Linked DNA regions of Arabidopsis thaliana. The protein of the gene in region 1 interacts with the protein of each later gene in a pairwise test. Each region holds a gene or a part of one and is shown in the gene's direction. Other genes may lie near its edges. The genes, in order: BBX29, COL2, AT5G50915 and COL4.

Region 1 (5,018 bases):
CCTCTTGACCATTGTTACTTGCACCGCAAGTTCCATCACCAACCACGGGTTTTCGCTGACTCTGATCGTCATTATTGCTCAACGGAGCTGTTTGAGGTTGATCACAGACTATACAATCAGAATCAGAATCTGAATCAGAATCCGTATCCGAGTCTGAATCTGATCCAGAACAAATTATATCACTACTAGACGAATCATCATCGGAATACGGAATCACAACCAAATCCTTATGAAGAAACTGTTTAAGAGCTTTGCTGAAATCTAAAAGAGATTTAAAGTAAAGAAGATGAGATCTCGCTAAGTGATAACGAGCATCTCTAGCTGCTTTGATCAATTCCTTCCTCTCCTTACATAGATTCAACAATGGAGTATTACTATCTCCCTTGGAAGCAACGATACCCATTAAACCCTCTTGAATGATCTCTCGAAATCGGTTAAACCCTAATTTGATTTCCTCGCTTTAACAATTGATATTTCGTGGATTGATTGAGTTGTTGTACCTTTTGACGACATCACTAAAAAGTAAAAACCTTGTTTGGCAGAAGTACGACTTGATGATGAACCCTAATTAGAAACAAATTCGATTTATTTTGTAGAGCGACGCTGAAGTTAAACCGTGTTTGATTTCCTTTTTTTTGGTTAAGGTTAGTATATAATTTTAAGAAAAGGAATTAGATGAAAAGGAAATTTGTAGCTAAATGGAAAAAATCTCACAGTAAATAAGAAGATTAAAAACAATAAGTTACATGTAATTAATGTATGGGGGCACGTTATATAATTGATATTAAGATCAGCTAATGATGGAGTGTGTAAATTAAATTTCATTGACACTACAAATATATTTTCGCAATTCCTTACCAAAAAACAAATATATATGAAGTTATTTTCTTACAGTACAAAGTTGATGTTTTGATACTTGTATCTTGTAGTATCGAGATCTTGAATTTTCATTATGGAATTTGGTTGACCAGTTTGACAAATAAAATGATGCACCTCTCATAGAGTCATCGGTATCCCTGATAAAAAGAATCAAACGTGGAATGGTCCGAATGAATAAAATCTTAGTGTACATATATATAAATCATATAATTTGATAGAATTTATGTTGAAAATGTAAATAATATGTATTTTTATCAACAAAAAAATTTAAAATTATTATAATTGGGTTGATCACCCATACTGAACAAATTTAACAATTTCTATTGTAAATTTGTAATCCACTTCTCTTTTTAATAAATCTTTAAAGAAACTTGCAAAAGAAAACATAAATGGAAAAGAACTAACAAAAAATAAGGAGTAATTCGTAAGATAGATGTGTATTGATTCGAGGCTTCTTCTAAGTTGTTCTAAAGTTGTCATCCACAAACATTTAAAAGTAAAAAAACAAAAAACCATAAAACTCAAAACACCTCCACTCATCAGCGCTTTTTTAATGCATGTGGCTCTCAAATGAAGACATCTCGTGTTCCTTTGATTCTTCACAATTCACACTTCACCCTTTACACCACTAATCTTCGCCACGTAAAAATTTCTCAAGCATGTTACGTAGGCCCAACTTTACCATTTTTTTTGTTCTTATATATATTTTACGTATTATTTGTTATCCTAAAATGACTTTCAATCCATCTTTGCTAGTCTTAATCTCGATTTCGTGATACAAATTAATTCCTTTGATCAAATGAATACAAATAATCAAATTAATTCATCTTTGATCATAGATGAATTAGTTTGTTCTATGGATCAAAACCACAGATCAAACTCTATCATACAAAAATCGTTGTGATTTTCTTTTAAAAACTCACAACTGTAAACATTTGAAATGACAAAAAATATTTGTCTAACTACAAGCTTCTTAGCTATCTATCTATCCTGTTTTTTAGATAAAAATTCGTAATACCTTTCATTTTTTTAATCCAGGTTTAATAATTTTTCAAATATATATTCTATATTCTTTTTAATTACCATTAGCAAATAACAAGTAATATATCGAATTGCCAATGATGTGAAGTAAAAATGTAAAATTAGTGGTTGGATTTATTTATTTATTTTTATTTAGAGAAAAAGACATTTAACTCGAATTATGTAAAATATGGAACGCTAAAAGTGGTTGATAAAATCATAAAATTAGGTTCTTCTCCTAGTAACCATGTTGATTCATGGACACCAAAATTTCCGAACCCAAAATGCGATATTAAAAATCCGATCATCATTATTATCCTACCGTAATACCAACGATATAAATGATATTTAATTCACTTTTCATTTTCGAAAACAAAACGCTTGGACCGGAACGAGAGAGGAATACTGAAAAAAGTAAAAAATGAAAGAAAAAAGAGTGGACCCATTAGACGTGTATTGAGGACCAGACAAATCCCAGGTGCGGATCACGTGGTTCTAAGTCTATTACAGAACCTGATTCGTCCACGTAGGATAACTCAGAATCTTCCCTCTCCTCTATACGAGGCTAATATCTCGCCACGTCATTAACTAAAAATCTAACCGCATAAAAATATCTGATGAAACATAAAACGAATAATATCTCGACACGTAAGACTTCGCCCATAGGAGAGCCTTGTCCCAGTACATGGTTTCAGGACCAAGTAAATAACAACATTTCCTTTAATTTTTATTATTATTATCATCTCTCCTAAATTTAAGAATTCGAGAATAATACTCAGCCGCGGAAACCTTAATCAATTTCAAACACAGATTTAGAACTACTAATACAAAATTATCCACAAATTATCCACCATAAAAATTAAAGTTTGAACGAATCCTTTAATCTTATTCTAATTTAAAATTAGGAAGCTTCTTTGCATTTCATTAAAAAATTACGTGAAAAATCGTTTCGTTAATATCAAAAAGACGACAATATCCTCGAAAAGAATTAAATCACATAAAAGTCGCCACGAAATTCTCATTTTACAATTCTCTATTACGCTGTCTCTTATTCGTGTCCGCAGAAGAAACGAGAGAAGAGAGAGAAGCAAAAGACCTTACCAAGAATATTTATAACACACAAACATCTAGAGACAGAGATAGACATAGAGAGAGAGCTTGTGGTTGTGGTTGTGCGAGATAATATCTAGAGATGGGGAAGAAGAAGTGCGAGTTATGTTGTGGTGTAGCGAGAATGTATTGTGAGTCAGATCAAGCGAGTTTATGTTGGGATTGTGACGGTAAAGTTCACGGAGCTAATTTTCTGGTGGCGAAACACATGCGTTGTCTTCTATGTAGCGCGTGTCAGTCACACACGCCTTGGAAAGCTTCTGGGCTGAATCTTGGCCCAACTGTTTCTATCTGTGAGTCTTGTTTAGCTCGTAAGAAGAATAACAACAGCTCCCTCGCCGGGAGGGATCAGAATCTTAACCAAGAAGAAGAGATCATTGGTTGTAACGACGGAGCTGAGTCTTATGATGAGGAAAGCGATGAGGATGAAGAAGAAGAAGAAGTGGAGAATCAGGTTGTTCCGGCTGCGGTGGAGCAAGAACTTCCGGTGGTGAGTTCGTCGTCTTCGGTTAGTAGTGGTGAAGGAGATCAGGTGGTGAAAAGGACGAGACTTGATTTGGATCTTAACCTCTCCGATGTATGAATATGAATCTTTTTCTTTATCTTCTTTTATTATTAGGAAATGATTAAGAAATCTGAAACAATTCTTTTTGAAATGCAGGAGGAGAACCAATCTAGACCATTGAAAAGATTATCGAGAGACGAAGGTTTGTCAAGATCAACTGTTGTGATGAATAGCTCAATCGTGAAATTACACGGAGGGAGGAGAAAAGCAGAGGGATGTGATACATCATCGTCGTCTTCGTTTTATTGAAATCGCCAAGGAAAGTAGAGATTGTAGCCGTTGATGATTCTTTTGTTTGGTTGATTAGATTAATCCTCATCGTTCATTTACTAACAACAATACTTTTAGTGAGTTGAGTTAGTTTAAAAACATTTCAATATAATGATTTTTTTTTGTGTTTTTTTTTCTGTGTTACCTAGAATATATATGTTCATATGTCTAGTATAAAATCATATAACATAAAAAATAAAATGAAGCAAAGTTGTTCAGAAAATGATTAAGAAAATGAAGCTGTTTTCTATTTATTTATTTTTTAACGAAAATGATTAAGAAAATTAATTAGTGAAACAAGAGATATTATTATAAATTTATAACGTGAGAAGGATTACCAGCCAAAACCAAAATTTATTATGATGTCAATTTTATTTGCCTTCCCAGAACTAGAAGTGTCTGTGTCATTGTGATGTTACAACTGAAGAGTACATAACGTATGAATGTCCGTTAGCTTTGTAAATTGTAACTACGACCACTAAAAAGAATCAAACAAAAAAGTTGTCAAGACTTAGAAAAAAGAAGATATTTAGTACCATGGGGTCCTCCTTTAAAGTTTTTTTAAAAAAAATTTATTTGTCAAACGCTTTGAACCCATCGTGTCTTTTGTATCTAAACCGTGTTCGAAGCTCCAAAAAAATAAAAAATGATGCTCTCATGATTTATATGTAACTAAATAAATTGGTTTTATTTCTAATTTTGAATCTATTTGTTTTGTGAGAAATGAGAAGATCCAAGTTTTTGGTTTCTTGATCGTATATGATAAATACAGTATACAGTAATTCAATTCATGGTAGTTAGAGAATTGGACGGCGAATGTCTACCAGATATTTTATTTATTTAAATTGAATGAAAGTAGTGAAAACATGTGGTTCTCATTGCATCTCTTTGCAAAGACCGATCATTTAAGCCGTCTTCAAAATACTAAAATATGAATATAATAATTAGAGATCATAATTTTAATTTAAGGTTTACACTTGGATAAATACTTGCGGATACGATGACATCACCTTTGAGTTAAACTTCCTTTCGAAGTCAGAAATACAAAAAGTCAACCCCAAGCATTAATCCACGAGTCTCTTTATTTCATTATTAGAGTTTAACATTCATGTTTAATGCATATAAACACTTCATTATCAAAGTGTTGGACTTTGTTCGTTAAATCCCAAATCAT
Region 2 (6,119 bases), on another chromosome or scaffold:
ACAACCATTAAAGATCATTTTCTACATACATAGCTCAATGTTGTCTAAACACATTACAAACTGCATTGCAAGGATCCTCTGAGAGGCGGTAAAGATGAGCTATTTGATCATATAGTCTCTATGATACACGCCGATGACAGTGACGCATTGAGAAACGATGCTGTTGCGCCACCGAGGAAACGGCTTGTTCCAGAGTTCTTGCTGAAACTGGCTGGCAGGGTCAGCCCTTTTTGAACAGGAAAACTAAAGCTTCGATACGGTTCTTGTAGCTTCTTGATTGTCAATTTATTTGTTATTGTTGTTTGTTGTTTGTTGTTTGCTGTTCTGTGTTTTCATCTTCTTCATCAATTTGTATATATTTCGATTTGTAGCAACTCTCACATGTTGATATGCATAGAGCTTAAGCAAGCCACATGAGTTGCCCCACAAAATGAATGAATTTCATCGATCACTGATCCAAAAGCGTAAAACTGAAGATATATTGGTAGTTGCAGTGACATAATAATAGAGAAACTCCAAAAAACTAGTGGTTCCAACAAAGTCATAAACACAAAACCATGATCTACATTGTGCACAAAGCGAGTAATAGATACAGATGCTTTCTAGGAAGCTTTTGTCATTCAATTTTTTCTAACAAGATTACTACCATACCTGAAGAAATCACACTAAGCCGGTAGCAACTTAACAATGAGATCAAAGTATTCCCAGGTATAAGTTAGAACATATCATGAAGCTAGCAAAATGGGATCAAATCAACTTAGTACTTAGTCGCCCTTTTCCTTTTGCTCTGCAATATGCTTGTGAACTCTCATACTCTTACTTCTCATGGGCTCAATCATCTTCTCTGTTTCTTCAATTGTCTGTTTTGGCAGTTGAACCTCTATGGCATCAAACCATTCTCTTAGTTTCATTTTTTCTAAATATACTTCTACCCTCTCTACTTTCTTATTGTTCCATCCCTGCCCAACCTTTTCCTCATCTAATGTCGCAAATCCAGCCTCCTCGACCTTGCAGTCACTTTCCTCGTCGTGACACTCTTCTTCAATTTCTTGTAAGTTTTCTGTCTCTCCATCTTCTCTAACAGTACAGTTCAGGTCATCTTCTCCTACGGTGCTTTTCTTCCTTAACTCAATCTCCACCTGCTCTACCCTCTTAGCCCCACCACCAACCCTCTCATATTCTTTATCACTTCTTTCACTGCAACCTTCTTGAGCTTCTTTTTCATTTTCATTTTCTCTTTCTCTTTCAATATCTTGTGAGTTCTCTGTTTCTCCATCTTCTTTATCAGTGCATTTCAGGCCTTCTACTGTGCTTTTCTTCCTTAACTCAATCTCCACCTGCTCTACCCTCTTAGATCCATCGCATTCCTTCTCATCTTCTTGATCACATATGTCATCACTTCTTCCACTGCAACCTTCCTGAGCTTCATTTTCCTTATCTTCTTCAACATGACAGTTCTTCAAAACCTCTTCTCCGGCATCATCATTTCTAGTCTCCTTGGATGGCTCCTCATCCATTTTCTTCCTCTTTGCACGGCTTTTCCGGGCTTGGTTCAGGACCATCTCCAACTCCAGAAAAGACTCTCCACCAATTTCAGTCGTCTTGCTTCTGGTAGACCTTGTAGTTCTCTTCTCATCTTTAACCTCCAATCCAAAACATTCATTTTCTATCTGCTTGCTCCTTGTCACTCTCTTCCTGCTTTTCACCTCTGAGATTTCCACTGCCTTGGGAGTATCCTCAACTTCCAATTTGATTGATTTCTGGACAATCTCACTGTTCTTACCTCTCCGAGCCCTAGAGTTGCCTTTTTTCTCCTCCACAACTTCTTCTTCCTCCGTAATTGCACTACTTGCGTTCTTCCGGGGCCTCCCAACCCTTTTTTTCTCCTCCACAACTTCTTCTTCCTTCGCAATTGCACTGCCTGCGTTCTTCCGAGGCCTCCCAACCCTAGCTTTGACCACCTTCTCAATTTCCACATCCAATTCCTCTTCTTTATCGGCGATATCGTCCAGATTCTTTTTCCTCGAAGCCCTAGTACTCTTGGGCAGTTCATTTTCCTCTTGCTTCGACGATCCACGCGTGCGCTTTGGTTTCTCCTGAACCGACTCAATAGGATCCGGATCCGGATCCGAAGCAGCAAGCCGCTTGTTGTTCCTCCTTGGCCTGGGCGGAAGCTTATGCTCCTGCGGCGCCTGAACAACATCACTCCCAAAGTTCACCAAAATGGAAGTGTACTCACCAAGCTTAATTTCGTCTCCATGGCTAAGATTGACGGGCGTATCTGAGTCGATAGTGTCAGAGTTCAATATGGTGCCGTTGGAAGAACCAAGATCGTGGATTATCCAGTTCTCGGAATCGGAAACGATCCGGAGGTGCTTGGTGGAGATTCCGGCGTCTTTGATGGCGATTTCATTACCACGGACGATTCGACCAATTCGGATAGTGGATCCGGGTTTAAACCCTAGAGAATCGCCAGCTCTTGGACCCTGGGTGAAGTCGAGCTTCAGCAATGGCGGAACCATCGTGCGTCTCGGGGAAGCTTTGCTTTGATTCAAAATAATGGAATTTTGAAATTTCGGATTTATGTCAAACTCAAAATCGAACGGAACAGTCCTGAAACAAAGAAACCCTTTCAAGCCCAATGGGCTTTTGCATTGTACAAACTATGAATATACAGTCCAGTCCATAAGTTACCAAAATATCTTCTTGTTACTACAGAGTACAGCCCATCCAAGTTTTTTTTTTGTTGTTGTTGTTGTTGTTGTAAAATGATGATTTATGCATGATTGACTATCAAATTGAAACAAGAAATGAGTTATAGTTGATTTAGATATATTATATATATAATATTTGTTGATATAAGTAAAAAACCAAAACAAAGGGAGTAAATATTCATTTCATGATCTAATAATTTCCCAAAAAATTAAATTACAATTTTGGCAATATTGTTTCAGTGAACAACTGAAAAACTCAACTTATCAACATTACTCCACAATTCACAAAAAAAAAAAGATTTATTTCTTGGTAACTGGAAGTGATGTTGATATAAGCTAATATATAACATTATAACTTGTGGCTCATGAGCATCCTAATCTCTTCACTAAAGGCTTATTTGTCACATTCTCATTGGTCACTCTAGATTCACCACTTTGCCATGTCAGCTTTTTCTTCTCATCCACCTGCAAAACAACATTTAAAACCAAAATGAGTTTCACTTTTATGTATTACTTTGTATAATCTTTGGTCACTACCTGATTACTTACCATGTATGTTCCAATAAGAAAAGTTTCCATCTTTGCTTAAAAGCAAAAAACTAAAATACCAAAAGATTCAAAAAAAAACCAAAACAGTAAAAGTAAATAGCAATCTCTGAGAATCTTATCCACGTCAGCTCACGGGTCCTACAGAGAAAGCTACAATAGGAAGAGATGTTTTCACTTACAGAAGATTTACTTGGTCTAGATTTGTTCTCCTTTGTGAAGGTTATGAGAAAAAAACTTTTTTGATGATTCATGACCTTGTTCAAAACTCAGACAGCCACAAGATGATCCAACTACTTTTAACAACCACTAACTCTGCGCCACGTGTATATCTCCAAAGATTCTATCTTTCCCCTCTCACCACCTAGATATAGTCTCATTAGCCTTCCCTCCTTTCTAATTACAATCTCTCCTTTTGCCAACAATCATTGCTTAAAAAACACATACCTTCTTCTTTAGTTATAAAAATGTTGAAAGAAGAGAGTAATGAGAGTGGTACTTGGGCACGAGCATGTGACACTTGTCGTTCAGCCGCCTGCACTGTCTACTGTGAAGCCGACTCTGCCTACTTGTGCACCACCTGTGATGCTCGAGTTCACGCAGCCAACCGTGTTGCTTCTCGCCATGAACGTGTTCGTGTCTGTCAGTCATGTGAGTCTGCCCCAGCTGCGTTTTTGTGTAAAGCAGACGCTGCGTCTCTTTGTACAGCTTGTGATGCAGAGATTCATTCCGCAAACCCACTAGCTAGACGTCATCAGCGAGTTCCGATTCTTCCATTATCTGCAAACTCTTGCAGCTCCATGGCCCCAAGTGAGACTGATGCTGATAACGATGAGGATGATCGAGAGGTTGCTTCGTGGTTACTCCCTAATCCAGGGAAAAACATCGGTAATCAGAATAATGGGTTCTTGTTTGGTGTTGAGTACCTTGATCTTGTGGATTACAGCTCCAGCATGGACAACCAATTCGAAGATAATCAGTACACTCACTACCAGAGGAGCTTTGGAGGAGATGGAGTTGTGCCGCTTCAAGTTGAAGAATCAACAAGTCACCTGCAACAAAGCCAACAAAACTTTCAGTTGGGTATCAACTATGGATTCTCCTCAGGAGCTCACTACAACAACAACTCCTTAAAGGACCTAAACCATAGCGTAAGCTTTTTATACACTTGCCAGCTCTTTAGTTCACAATAATCAGTATGCATGCTGTGTCATCACAAGTATGCTTCGCTATACATTGATTCTTTGCTCCTATAACCTCGGAAGATTGAAACTGTCTTTGTCTCTGTCATTAGGCATCCGTTTCATCAATGGACATCAGTGTTGTGCCAGAGTCAACTGCAAGTGACATAACAGTCCAACACCCAAGAACTACTAAAGAGACGATAGACCAACTATCTGGTCCTCCTACTCAGGTGGTGCAACAGCTTACTCCAATGGAGAGGGAGGCTAGGGTCCTGAGATACAGAGAGAAGAAGAAGACAAGGAAATTTGACAAGACAATAAGATATGCTTCAAGAAAGGCATATGCAGAGATAAGACCACGGATCAAGGGCAGATTCGCAAAGAGGATAGAAACTGAAGCTGAGGCTGAAGAAATCTTCTCAACATCGCTAATGTCTGAGACTGGATATGGAATTGTCCCTTCCTTCTAAACTCCTATGGCGAAGATAGACTAGATTGCATGCTGTAAATTACTTCTAGTTTGGATTTCTACAAGTTATTACTGCATATGGGTCCTTAGTTTTGTGACTTTTGTCAAACTAGTACGAGTTTAATCAGATATGTTCCTATAGCTGCAGTTGTTTAAGCAACATCTCGCTACATAATTGAATTGGTGAAATCTTATCATATGGAACAGTGCCTATCATATCTAATTGAATTGGTGCCACATGAAAGAGATATGCATCACTATGAGTAGCTGTAAGTAGAAAACTAAAAGCGGATTTCAAGTTGTCACTTCACAAGAAAGACAACGCCTAGTAGGTTCAAAGTAAATACCTTTCGATTATTTTCTGGCTGTAGAATCTTCTGTTTCTTGATACTTTCCAGATCACAAGAACACGTAAATCGCAGGTCAATTCCACATATGCCAACTCATTCCCTGAGGAAGGATTATTCAGAATAACATGATTTGTAATTTAAACAATTAAACTGATAACATAGAACAACTTTGTCCACACAAACTTAAGAAACTCCAAAAACCAACATGCAAATCAGCATTAATTGTCATTTTCGGTTAACGGGAATCATAAGTTAACGTATTCAGCCAAGTGGGAGTAAGATAGTGAAGATACTGAGAACCCTAATATACACCAGCAACTAGCATAGGATGTTGATGCCTATGCCAAATTCAAGTAAAGAAGGATAATTCTTTCTCTTTACCTTTTGGAATAAAGGACTATACTTTCTCACTTTTTATGGTATGTGCTGACAGTAAAGGATGATAGAGCAACGAAAAAGAAAGCACGACATTTAACCAAGCCTTACTGTTTCCCATCTGGAAATGTTCACAGAGCTCAACATTATTATACATCACAACCTATTTTTTTTTTCTTCTCAATTATACATCACAACCTATATGTGTAGCAAAAGTACTGTATTTATTTCCTAAGTTATGAGAGATCTGAAAACAGTGATTACTTAACCAAAATAAAGAGCTTACATCACAACCTAAATTTGTAACTTGAAATGAAATGTAGCAATAGTGGGACAAATTACGAAATTCTGCATCGTATACAATTTTCCTATAACATCATAAGATTTATATAAAAGTGAGTGATAGTCTAAGTGGAATCATAGAAACCGTCAGACATATAAGAAGTAATAAAAACTAATATAAGACCTAGTTGAGAGTTAA
Region 3 (6,117 bases), 1.4 Mb from region 1:
TTCAAAAAAATCACTTTATAGTCTGTATATAAGACTTTACAAACCTTGTAAAACCATATAAAAACTTATAATAATCTAATTACATTTTGACGTAATATCTTTGAGTTCCTTTAAATATAATAAGGAACACTGAAATTGATATAACATAGGATTAAGATAAAACGTTTCATGTTGAATTTGGTATTAGTGTAGAAGAAAGCGATGTCACATATTGGAACATAGCTAGTGCCAGTTTGCACAGGTACTATTAAATCTTCGGAGATTTTGCATAGATTCGTAAATTGAATAGATAAAAAACAAAAGGAGAGTCGTACCATCACAAAACTCATCAATTTTTAATTAGAATTTTTTTCTCTTTGTTACTATTTTATTGCATTGTAGGCGATGATATGTGAGTAAAAGGTTATCTCTCGTATCATGCGGATAGAGACTTCTATGAATATCTATTTCGTAGACGTAACCGTACGTTAATTAGTCTATTGCCAGGTTGATTTATTTGTATTCTTCTTAGTAGAGAAAATCAATACTTCACTAAACAAAATGGAAATAATATGGTAGAAGGACATAAAACTGTTTTGATAATAGAGAAGAAAACATATAGAGATGCAACATATTTGAATAACAAATATAATGAGATTAAGCTAAATAAACGAAGTGATTAATAGAGATCTATAACAGTTATGAGATCAACCTAACTTACTTCATATATCTTACAATCGTCACATAATTCACTAGACTTATCGGCCAGAAAACGCCGTAAAATGGAAGTTGTTTCTTTGCATTTGTAAGTAATGTTTTGGGATATAGGATGGTAGAAGAAAACTTTGAGTCAATTTCTTAGAGTGAAGTAATGTACCTAATCTATCTCGTAATTCAAGATTCATTTTCATATCATCCTTTCGTAATTAGTCTCGTGCACTTATTCTTTTCTTTAAATGTGATCTTGAATATTCAAAACACAGTACAAATAATAGATCAGCCGCTAATTAAATGCGTTAGATAAAGAATAAAGGTTTTGTGCAAGTACCCTGATTTGAAAAGAAGCAAAAGAGAGATATTGGTGAAGAAAATATGATGCCAATAAATGTTTATTCCTCATCCGGATGAAACGTGCATAATCTCTATCATCTTCGGGTTATGATAATTAATTACAAGCTCATGCGGACCTTTGACATGTAAATTATGTCCAAAAGAACAATCATAATGTTTTCTTGGTTCCTAATTAGCATGTTTTCTTTCTGCTCTAAACTTGATCTCAAAAAGAAAATCATAATAGAAAGTCCATAGATCGTATTCGTACGTATACAATTGATAATTAATTAATCGTAGATTCGCTTAATGTTTTTGTTAAGTACGTGTCATAATAATAATTTATAAATAGAAGAAAGGAATTATAATAGTCTAAATAATTAAGGACATGGATTGTGATAAATTTTGATGGTCAAGTACTCGTTTTTTCGATTATTACTATAAGAGTACCCGATTATATCAAAACAAAATGGAGATTTATGATTTTTTGTCTTCTATGCATACCCAACGGTATCATGGGATTGGACTTCACACCTTATTCACAATTTTTTTTCTTTTGTCCTTTTCTGAAAAGGAAATTTCCTATGTCGATCCAAAGTGGGAAATGGACAAAAGTTTTTATTTTCTCTAACAAAAATGGACAAAAGTTTGTAGTATTATGGTATCCACATAGAGATTATTATTGAGAAGATCACGCGGCATTACATATTTAGTTCTAAATGTACAGTATTTTGGATAGGGTAATATATCTCTCTACTATCTAGTCTTTAATTATATCTGACTCGTTAAACTGTGCCTATATATTGATCTATATATTAGCTGTGGCAAAGGTTCTGCAATCTGATAAAGTAAAATTGATTGATAAATGATAAATATTGCTCTTTTGGTGTACATTAACTTTTTTGATATGTGTATTATAGGTCCGACCCTCTTATAAAGTAAAACAAGCCATAGCTTTAGGGCATTTCTAAATATAGTTCGTTGTTAGGGCGACAATATTGAATGCTTACGTGAGTGTAGTTGATGGTCAATACAAATACATCAATTGGTTTTAGAGAACATTTTCCTCGAGTTCGACTGCCCACGTTGGTCGTTCTTTCGTTCATTTAATGGGTTTAGTTGATTACTTCTTTTTATAGTACATTTATTGTTTTCACGTTATGCGCTATTATATTCTTATAAAAAAAGTCTTAATTAAATGATATATTGATCAGTATTTGTCTTGTTTAGTTTTACAACATGGTTGTATTACAAATTATGTAGTATTTATAATCTTATATTTCAAAACATAATTTATTCTCTAAATAACATAAAACTATGGAGAATACAAATTACAACAAAATTTAAAATTATAAGTTCTTACATAAAGTAATTTGAAACAAATTTTCTAAAATATCATGATACCCATAGAGTAATAAAACTAAACAAAATAAATAGACAAATATTCCATGAGTTTGCATTTGAAAAAAAAAAAAAAAGAGAACATACGTATCTAAGAATGATGAAAGATCATTAGTCACCTAATTTTTGAAATTCAACATTATTTACTTAAATTTTCATTTTTACTCTTCCATGGTTACTCAATGCAATTACTTAAATATACAATCTCGATATTATATATAAACATATCATCTAACATAAATTACCCGCCGAAATATGGTAGTAATTTCTTCTCAAATAAAAAGGTATCTTCAATATACAAGTGGTCCCTAAAATACTCTTTCTTCTGTTTCTCCTTGTTTCTTTGAATAGTGAATACAAAAGCAATTCCTTATATAAACCACTTCAAGTCCTTAATCTTCTCTCACAAAGAAAAAACACTATCTCTATCGACAAAGATAAGAGAACTCAGAAGCTTCTACTCTTAAAATGGCAACTTTCTCTTATTTCCAAAACTACCCTCATTCCCTTCTTGATCCTCTTCTCTTCCCTACACCTCACTCCTCCATTAATCTCACTAGTTTCATCGATCAAAACCATCTCTATCCACTACCAAACATTTCCACAGTTGAAGACATTTCCTTTCTTGAATATAATGTTGACAAAACTGAAAACTCTGGTTCAGAGAAACTGGCCAACACAACCAAAACAGCAACCACCGGTTCTTCTTCCTGCGACCAGCTCAGCCACGGACCATCAGCCATCACCAACACCGGAAAAACCCGTGGGAGGAAGGCCAGAAACAGTAATAACTCCAAGGTATGTTAAACCAACTTGTAATGTATCATCTATCATTTATGTGATGGGGTTGGGATAGTCAAAAACATAAATGTTGGTGTGGTTTGGTGAATTAGGAAGGAGTAGAGGGAAGAAAAAGCAAAAAACAGAAGAGAGGAAGCAAAGAAGAGCCTCCAACAGATTACATTCACGTTCGAGCTAGAAGAGGCCAAGCTACTGATAGCCACAGCCTTGCTGAGAGGGTATTTTAGTCATTTCTCTTAACATTTTAATTTTTCTTCATTAATCATGTTTTCATAAAATACATTTTGATTAATATTTGATTAAACTTATATATATATATATGTAAAGGTGAGAAGGGAAAAGATAAGTGAGCGGATGAGGACTCTGCAAAACCTTGTTCCGGGCTGTGATAAGGTCAGCTAGAGTAGAGACAATTTTATTTAGGAGAATTGATAATGGTTTAATTTTATAATGTTTCTAGAAAATGTTATTAATTGATTAAATGTGACTTGAAAACGAATAGGTAACAGGGAAGGCCCTCATGTTGGATGAGATTATAAATTATGTCCAGACCTTGCAGACTCAAGTTGAGGTGCATTTTCTTAATTATTTTGTTTTTTCTTGTAACATTTTATGTTAAAACTAATGTTTCTAATTCATAACTTTTTTTTCTGTTTCATTAGTTTCTCTCAATGAAGCTAACTTCTATAAGTCCGGTGGTCTATGACTTTGGCTCCGACCTTGATGGCCTCATACTTCAATCTGAGGTATTTCATTTACACAATGTCTCTTAATCCGGTTACCGATAAAACCAAGTCATGTATCCCGAAAAGCCGGTTATGGATCTTAAGTAGATATTTTCTTGATGGACAGATGGGTTCTCCAGAAGTAGGAACGTCTTTTACCAATGCAATGCCAACAACTACTCCTATCTTTCCTTCACTATTGGATAATTCTGTAGTTCCCACACATGCACAAGTTCAGGTTTTTCATTTTTTTCTATAAGTGATTATTTCAGATAATAATTATAATAAGGAGAATGAAGATAGATAAGAATCAATTATTGGAAGATTAATAGATAGTGATGTGTTGCTTAATTTAGGAAGAGGGAGAAGAAAGAGAGAACTTTGTAGACAGAAGTGGGTTCAACAACAACAACTTCTGTTCTTTCCCTTGATAAAATTACATGTCGACACAAACACAAAAGCCTGCTTTCGTGAGTTTCTTCTGGTCTTGTCTCTTCAACTACCTAATTATTATCATTACAATTATTTTTAACATTTCTCATATAGAAATTGTTAAAAATCTTGATGTGGGTTCGTAATTATTGCTATCGTTTATTGGATGTAGGTTGATTTAATCTCCTCCCATTTGCACGGAGGGAATAAAATCTACGTAAACCAGGTTTTGTAAAAGTGGATGTACTTATTTGTTCCGTTTATATAGTTTGAAGAAATAAAGTATTTTAGAGACTTAAAAAGCTCATTTTCTCTATTTGTCCCGAGAGTTTCAACATAATCATTACATAAAATCAATGGATAAATTCATACTAAAAGAGAATGGTATATGAGGCAGAGGCAAATTCGATGGAGGAAAGAAAGACATATAAACTAAGAAGACCTATCAGCTTAATCATTGTTTTTTTTAATATAATTGAATTTTGATGTATCCACTCATTAATTTTATAAGTTCTTGTATTTTCACCACTTCTGTCTTTCTGATTTCTTGCACCAAAGTTTCCTTTTTCCTCCAATCTTTTTAAATGTAAACTGTTATCCACACACTCATGTTATATTTCCTATATATATAAAAATGTTCGAGGGATAACTACTTATGCATGTATATAAATCTAAATGATTCGTTTCCTGTCAATTTAGTTGGCTACAAAATTATGTCAGAAGAAAAGATTAGATTTCCCTTCCTGAGAACACTTTAATGTACCTGTTGAATAGTTTGGTCATGCTTTTCTGCTCTCACTTGTCACACATTGATAACTCCCATTCCTCTGTATCTGTCCTTTCACAATACATATGTTATAAGTTTTATTTTAGTTTAGAGTATGTCTAATATATATATACCAAAATTCTTGAAAGAGATATTTGATACTGTTGTATTTGTAAATATGATTTGTTGGTTGTCTAACATTTTCATGAGGTGGTAATTAACGATTCCTTGAGTTATTCAATCCTAAATTGCAGGATTTATTTGAATACACCTAAATAAATTATATGCAAGAGCCTTATGTATATTATCGTTATTCAGTTACATACATATTAATAACCTCTTTTATTAACGAACCTAGAATAGAGATTTTTTTGTATGATTTTCATTTCTTGATGTATATGTCAGGATGTATATGATTTGTGAGATTACTCTTCACAATTCAACAATTTGAGATTTTAGTTAAATAAGTAAAATTTAATTGATATCATCTCTTCTAAGATTTGTTATTGGACTATGGTTCAAAATTTTCACTTTTTCCCTTTTTTATTATTATAAATATGATATGTTGCTAGATGAATTGGGTCATCATTTTCTTGCAATTGTTTCGTCATGAATACGATTTTTTTTTTTTTTTTTAATCGAAAATGCATATGAATTTGGTCCCAAGTTATTATACGGCAAATTGATCAATCATAAAATACAATAACAAAGGAAATGCTAAGTTTCTCGTGGCACATAATTGTATCTGCTAACGGTTTCATCCTGAATCAATGGACAACACATTTCGTAAATCTTATGCACATCATTTCACCTCATATGTTTATTTCAAAGTATACCTCTTATAACTTTAACTGTGCGTTTCGATTCTTCGCATCATCAAACCTATCAAAATCAAACCCTAAATATCTGATGACACGTTTTATGCGAGAACGATTGGTAAGTTAACCGAAGGGTCCACGATTC
Region 4 (4,943 bases), about 14 Mb from region 1:
TCCGTTCACAGATTGGCTTCAAAGAGTTTCAATATGTTTGACTTTGGAACAGTTGTATGAATTTGCTCTATTTGCTGCAACTACCTGACGCGGCGATGCGACTCTGCCTACATCATAACTCATAATTAATGCAACGCTCATTTGAATCAAACTTTCACAAATCAATACGGTTACACATTTTTCATGATGTATGATTCTGACACTTTCAATATTGTTTTTTTTTCTTTTTCTAATTAAGAGTTTTGATAATCACTCCTAATTTTTATTTTCATTTTAATTATTTAAGTTTCAATTATTATCATGCTTATATATTTCTATTTTTTTTTAATTTAATAATGTCAAATCAAATTTACTTTTGAAGTTTTAAATTTTATTAGTTGGTCAGACACAACACAACATAAAATTTATTTTGAGAAAACCAAGAGTACAAGATGTAATGTTTAAAATCGTGGTAGAAGTTTGATTTATGGAGAAAAGAAAAAGAGTTTTCATAAGAAAGTGAAATTTTTCATTTTATTTCATTATCAAAGCCTAAAATAAATGACGATTCTCTTCACTTTCTCATAAATACTCTTTTTTTCTTTTTTCTTTTTGCAGAAATCAGTCCACCGCGATTTTCAAAATCTTCATCTTGTACTCTCAATTCTTTTATTGCCTGTTGTGTTCTGTCTAGTTCTGATTTATGCTTAACTAATAAAATTTCCAAAAAAATTGATTTGACACAATTAAATCAGAATAATAGAGAAATGAGAAGCATGATAAATGAATCTTAGATAATTCAAAATAAATAAAAAAAAAATAAATAAATAATCTAAAATACTAAAATTACAACAAATTATTAGTAAAAAAAGAAGCATATATTGGTTTTACATATATATATATTTTATACATGTCAAAATCTGATCAATAGATATAATATGCGAGTTACTAATTTTGAAATAAGTCTTTATTTATATTGTAATAAGGATAGTAAAAATTTATAAGGTCTTATCCTGGAGTTATGTGTGGAATAGTTACGGTGCAGTTAACCATGAAATTTTGAAGAGGTATTTTTGATGACTATCTAGAGGGCGTTGATTTCTTTGTTGATAAAAAAAGAAATAAGTTTATGTGAAACCAGTGAGTTTGTGTTGTGACTTTTAGCAAATTGAGAAATAAAGTTATTGGGCTGAAATAAGCATTTTAGTGAACAACAAAACACATACATGCAGAATATATCAGTAATAACTAGAAACCAATGGTCCACATAAGGCCCATATTCAGCCCACTAGTGACCGACCTACCCACCGGCCATTTACTTTATCCTCGCTAGTCACAGTATCGTTTCCATTTAAGTTTGCTCCTCATGGTGGTGGTCCTAAAACTCATCTACCCATACTTCTTCACCACTTTTTTCATTTTATTTTGCAATAGAACCACTCTCTGTGTCAGCTTATGGATTTGAATGGTTACGACGGTTGGGGCGAACAAAACCGTCAATGGATCAGATCGTTTTTTGTTTTATCATTCATCAAAAATAGTCCGCAGTGGTCCGGACCAAAAAAAATAGAAGAAAACCGCTGCGGACCATCTGCAGACCGTTTTTACATACAAATAAACTTGGTTTACAGCGATTTATAGTCCGCCCCAAAAATGAGATGGAGTAAACCGCAGACAAATTAGACCGCTTTGTCCGCTGCCTCCATTCATAACCTATAAATCATATAAAAAAGTTCGTAGACAAATTTGCTACGCATCATTTGCTAAAATAAAACACCTGTTGCCAAATGTCGACGATCCAGAATTATGATTACAAGTATCATCATCATACGATTACAATTATATAAAGAAATAAAGAACACACAGAACTATAATGCCAAGTAATTTCATCAGAAATAAAATTACGTTGTTTGGCTAAGATTTTACCACGTGTCAACTTTTCATTCGATCTAGATGGATACCCATGGACCCCACATGGATAGACTCATTGACACGCTCATGTGAAGCCAATAGTAACACCAACCACAAAAGAAAGAGAGAGAGAGAGACACTGAAACATAGAGAGAAGAAAAAGAAGAGGTTTAGAGAGAGAAAAATGGCGTCAAAGCTCTGCGATTCGTGCAAATCAGCGACGGCGGCGTTATACTGCCGACCAGACGCAGCGTTTCTATGCTTAAGCTGCGATTCAAAAGTCCACGCGGCGAACAAACTCGCGTCACGACACGCGCGCGTGTGGATGTGTGAAGTGTGCGAGCAAGCACCGGCACACGTCACGTGCAAAGCAGACGCGGCCGCGTTATGCGTCACGTGCGACCGTGATATCCACTCGGCTAATCCGTTAGCTCGCCGTCACGAACGCGTTCCCGTTACTCCGTTTTACGATTCCGTCTCTAGTGACGGTTCCGTTAAACACACCGCCGTTAATTTCCTTGACGACTGTTACTTCTCCGATATAGATGGTAACGGAAGCCGTGAAGAAGAGGAGGAAGAAGCTGCTTCGTGGCTGTTACTTCCCAATCCAAAGACTACAACGACGGCGACGGCGGGGATCGTTGCTGTTACTTCAGCTGAGGAAGTTCCGGGAGATAGTCCGGAGATGAACACTGGTCAACAGTATTTGTTCTCGGATCCGGATCCGTATCTGGATCTGGATTATGGAAATGTTGATCCGAAGGTGGAATCGTTAGAGCAGAATAGCTCCGGTACTGATGGTGTTGTTCCGGTGGAGAATCGGACGGTTAGGATTCCGACGGTGAACGAGAATTGCTTTGAAATGGATTTTACCGGAGGATCTAAAGGCTTTACTTATGGTGGTGGTTACAATTGCATCAGTCACAGCGTAAGCTTAATGTTCTTTAATCACAGTGATTAATTTAATTGATTATGTTTGATTAACAATTATTTATCAATTTTTAACGAAAAAGTTTAGATCTTTAGGGTTTAGACTTTTGATGATACTTAAAATTATTAATTTATTGGGAAGTAATGATTGGCTGACTAAAATTTAGGGTTATGCGAGCAACATGTGTAAATTAATCTGTAATTAGAAGAAATATTATGATAATCCTTAATTTAAGTATCTAATTATGTATTAATCAAAGAATTTTGGTGTCTTCTTTTTCATTTGTTTTGTTTAATCTAGTGTAGATCTAATCATATTCACTTATAAGTTATAACCTATAGTATTTGTCAGTTTGATTGTACTTATTATAATGGCTTGATCCAATGGTTGGTGTAATTTAGGTGTCATCATCGTCGATGGAAGTGGGAGTGGTGCCAGATGGTGGTTCGGTGGCTGATGTATCGTATCCTTACGGTGGTCCTGCAACCAGTGGAGCTGATCCGGGGACACAGCGGGCTGTTCCGCTGACTTCAGCTGAGAGAGAAGCGAGGGTAATGAGGTACAGAGAGAAGAGGAAGAACAGGAAGTTTGAGAAGACTATAAGGTATGCTTCAAGGAAAGCGTATGCGGAAATGAGACCGAGAATCAAGGGACGGTTTGCGAAGCGGACGGATACAAATGAGAGCAATGATGTGGTTGGTCATGGTGGTATCTTTAGTGGGTTCGGACTTGTACCTACATTTTAGATATTGAGAGAGGGAGAGACTCTAAAATGGAAGATGGTGGGTGGTTTGGTGTTTGTTTTAGTAATAAGGTTTTTAACGAACGTTTAATTTAAACGAGTTTGTTTGTTTTTTGTTGATGAGTATTTTTAGTTGTTGTGGGCGATGAAGAGGAAGAGAAGTGAGTGGGTGGTGTTTAACTGTTTATAAGTAACTTGTTTTGTATATATCGTGATTTTGAATATGTTCTTGTTTATGTTATGTACTCAAACTATTTAGAATCAACAAGTTTACAAAATTTGGTACACTGCAAAAAGAAATTACATTGTTGAAGTTAAAGACCTCAGAAAAAAGGGTGACAAAGAGAAGAAACTTACATGAACGAGATAAATCAGTTTCGAGGCAAAATCTTTGGACACTAAATAGTTCAAAGTTAAATGAAGATGATACATTCATTTATCAAAAGAAGGTAGTGGACGTTTTAGTTAAAGATAGAGGGAGTTGTCTTTCTTGCGGCGGAATCACTATGAACTTTGATTGGTTTTCGATTCCTTTCACCCGTTGATCCGCTCTGTTCTGTTGCGGCCGGCTTCTTCGCAGTGCTACTGTCCAAGTCGTTGTGTACTGTGCTTTGCGTTTGATTAGGTACCTTGGCTGAACTCTTAGGCTCTGAGTCGCTGCGAATTTTGATTGGCATTTGACTCTTTTCCCCGGTTAAACCACTCTGTTCTGAAGAAACGCTGTGTCCTGTTGCTGTAGTCGCGATTGGTTTTTGGTTCGAGTTATCGGCACTTCTAGCTGCAATCGGCTTTTGGTTCAGGCTTTGACTGTCAGTGTTGCGGTCCAAGTCCTTGTTTACTGTGGTATGGTCTTGATTGGTTTCTTTGGCTGAGATCTTGTGGTCTGAGTCATTTCTAACAGCGGTTGGCACTTGATTTGCTTCCTCGGATGAGCTGGAACCGTTGTTGTTAGCTGACTTGCTCTCCAAGAAACGTACAACTACACATGTAATATTGTCTGCACTTCCTCTTTTAATTGCTTCTCCCACAAGTTTCTTGGTGGACTCTTCCGGATCTTCAACTTCTTTTACTACTGCAACTGCTTCCTGAAAGACCATCAGAGAGATCTCAATCATTGAGTTTGATGTGATACTTATCGGAACATGAAAGTAGTTTTTCGAAGAAGAACTTAATTTTACAAACCTCATTGGAGAAAACATCCCATAGTCCATCGCTGGCAAGAATCAGAAACTCAAGAGAATCATCAATCTTCTCTTCCTGAAGTTGAAGACATGACCTTAAGTGAACACAAGTAGATGTTGTGTGTGGTTTACAAAGCAAATGAAGATACAAACCTGAATTTCTGGATCAGCAACAACATATTGTTTAAGCAATCGATCA

Evidence for each region.
Region 2: the proteins of BBX29 (region 1) and COL2 interact in a two-hybrid assay, tested with the Arabidopsis thaliana proteins (one large-scale study listed by BioGRID).
Region 3: the proteins of BBX29 (region 1) and AT5G50915 interact in a two-hybrid assay, tested with the Arabidopsis thaliana proteins (one large-scale study listed by BioGRID).
Region 4: the proteins of BBX29 (region 1) and COL4 interact in a two-hybrid assay, tested with the Arabidopsis thaliana proteins (one large-scale study listed by BioGRID).

Annotation. Positions count from the first base shown.
Region 1 is NC_003076.8:22,113,389-22,118,406, reverse strand, and holds BBX29 (B-box type zinc finger family protein), read left to right. Parts: upstream 1-2,867; 5' UTR 2,868-3,091; coding exon 3,092-3,586; intron 3,587-3,670; coding exon 3,671-3,823; 3' UTR 3,824-4,103; downstream 4,104-5,018. Other genes in the region: AT5G54480 (hypothetical protein (DUF630 and DUF632)), read right to left, coding at 1-403.
Region 2 is NC_003074.8:486,233-492,351, reverse strand, and holds COL2 (CONSTANS-like 2), read left to right. Parts: upstream 1-2,884; 5' UTR 2,885-3,077; coding exon of another isoform or gene 3,078-3,179; 5' UTR 3,180-3,263; coding exon of another isoform or gene 3,264-3,298; 5' UTR 3,299-3,396; coding exon of another isoform or gene 3,397-3,514; 5' UTR 3,515-3,727; coding exon 3,728-4,411; intron 4,412-4,512; exon of another isoform or gene 4,513-4,554; coding exon 4,555-4,914; 3' UTR 4,915-5,283; downstream 5,284-6,119. Other genes in the region: ICME-LIKE2 (alpha/beta-Hydrolases superfamily protein), read left to right, coding at 73-234; AT3G02400 (SMAD/FHA domain-containing protein), read right to left, coding at 765-2,522; AT3G02390 (uncharacterized protein), read right to left, coding at 3,078-3,179, 3,264-3,298, 3,397-3,514. UniProt on the Arabidopsis thaliana protein: Putative transcription factor. Does not affect flowering time.
Region 3 is NC_003076.8:20,709,034-20,715,150, reverse strand, and holds AT5G50915 (basic helix-loop-helix (bHLH) DNA-binding superfamily protein), read left to right. Parts: upstream 1-2,686; 5' UTR 2,687-2,898; coding exon 2,899-3,228; intron 3,229-3,323; coding exon 3,324-3,449; intron 3,450-3,558; coding exon 3,559-3,624; intron 3,625-3,733; coding exon 3,734-3,802; intron 3,803-3,893; coding exon 3,894-3,977; intron 3,978-4,083; coding exon 4,084-4,194; coding exon of another isoform or gene 4,195-4,215; exon of another isoform or gene 4,216-4,312; coding exon 4,313-4,387; 3' UTR 4,388-4,426; exon of another isoform or gene 4,427-4,560; 3' UTR 4,561-5,048; downstream 5,049-6,117. Other genes in the region: AT5G50910 (uncharacterized protein), read left to right, coding at 5,869-6,090.
Region 4 is NC_003076.8:8,587,383-8,592,325, forward strand, and holds COL4 (zinc finger CONSTANS-like protein), read left to right. Parts: upstream 1-2,074; coding exon 2,075-2,818; intron 2,819-3,222; coding exon 3,223-3,567; downstream 3,568-4,943. Other genes in the region: AT5G24940 (Protein phosphatase 2C family protein), read right to left, coding at 4,025-4,648, 4,746-4,820, 4,898-4,943.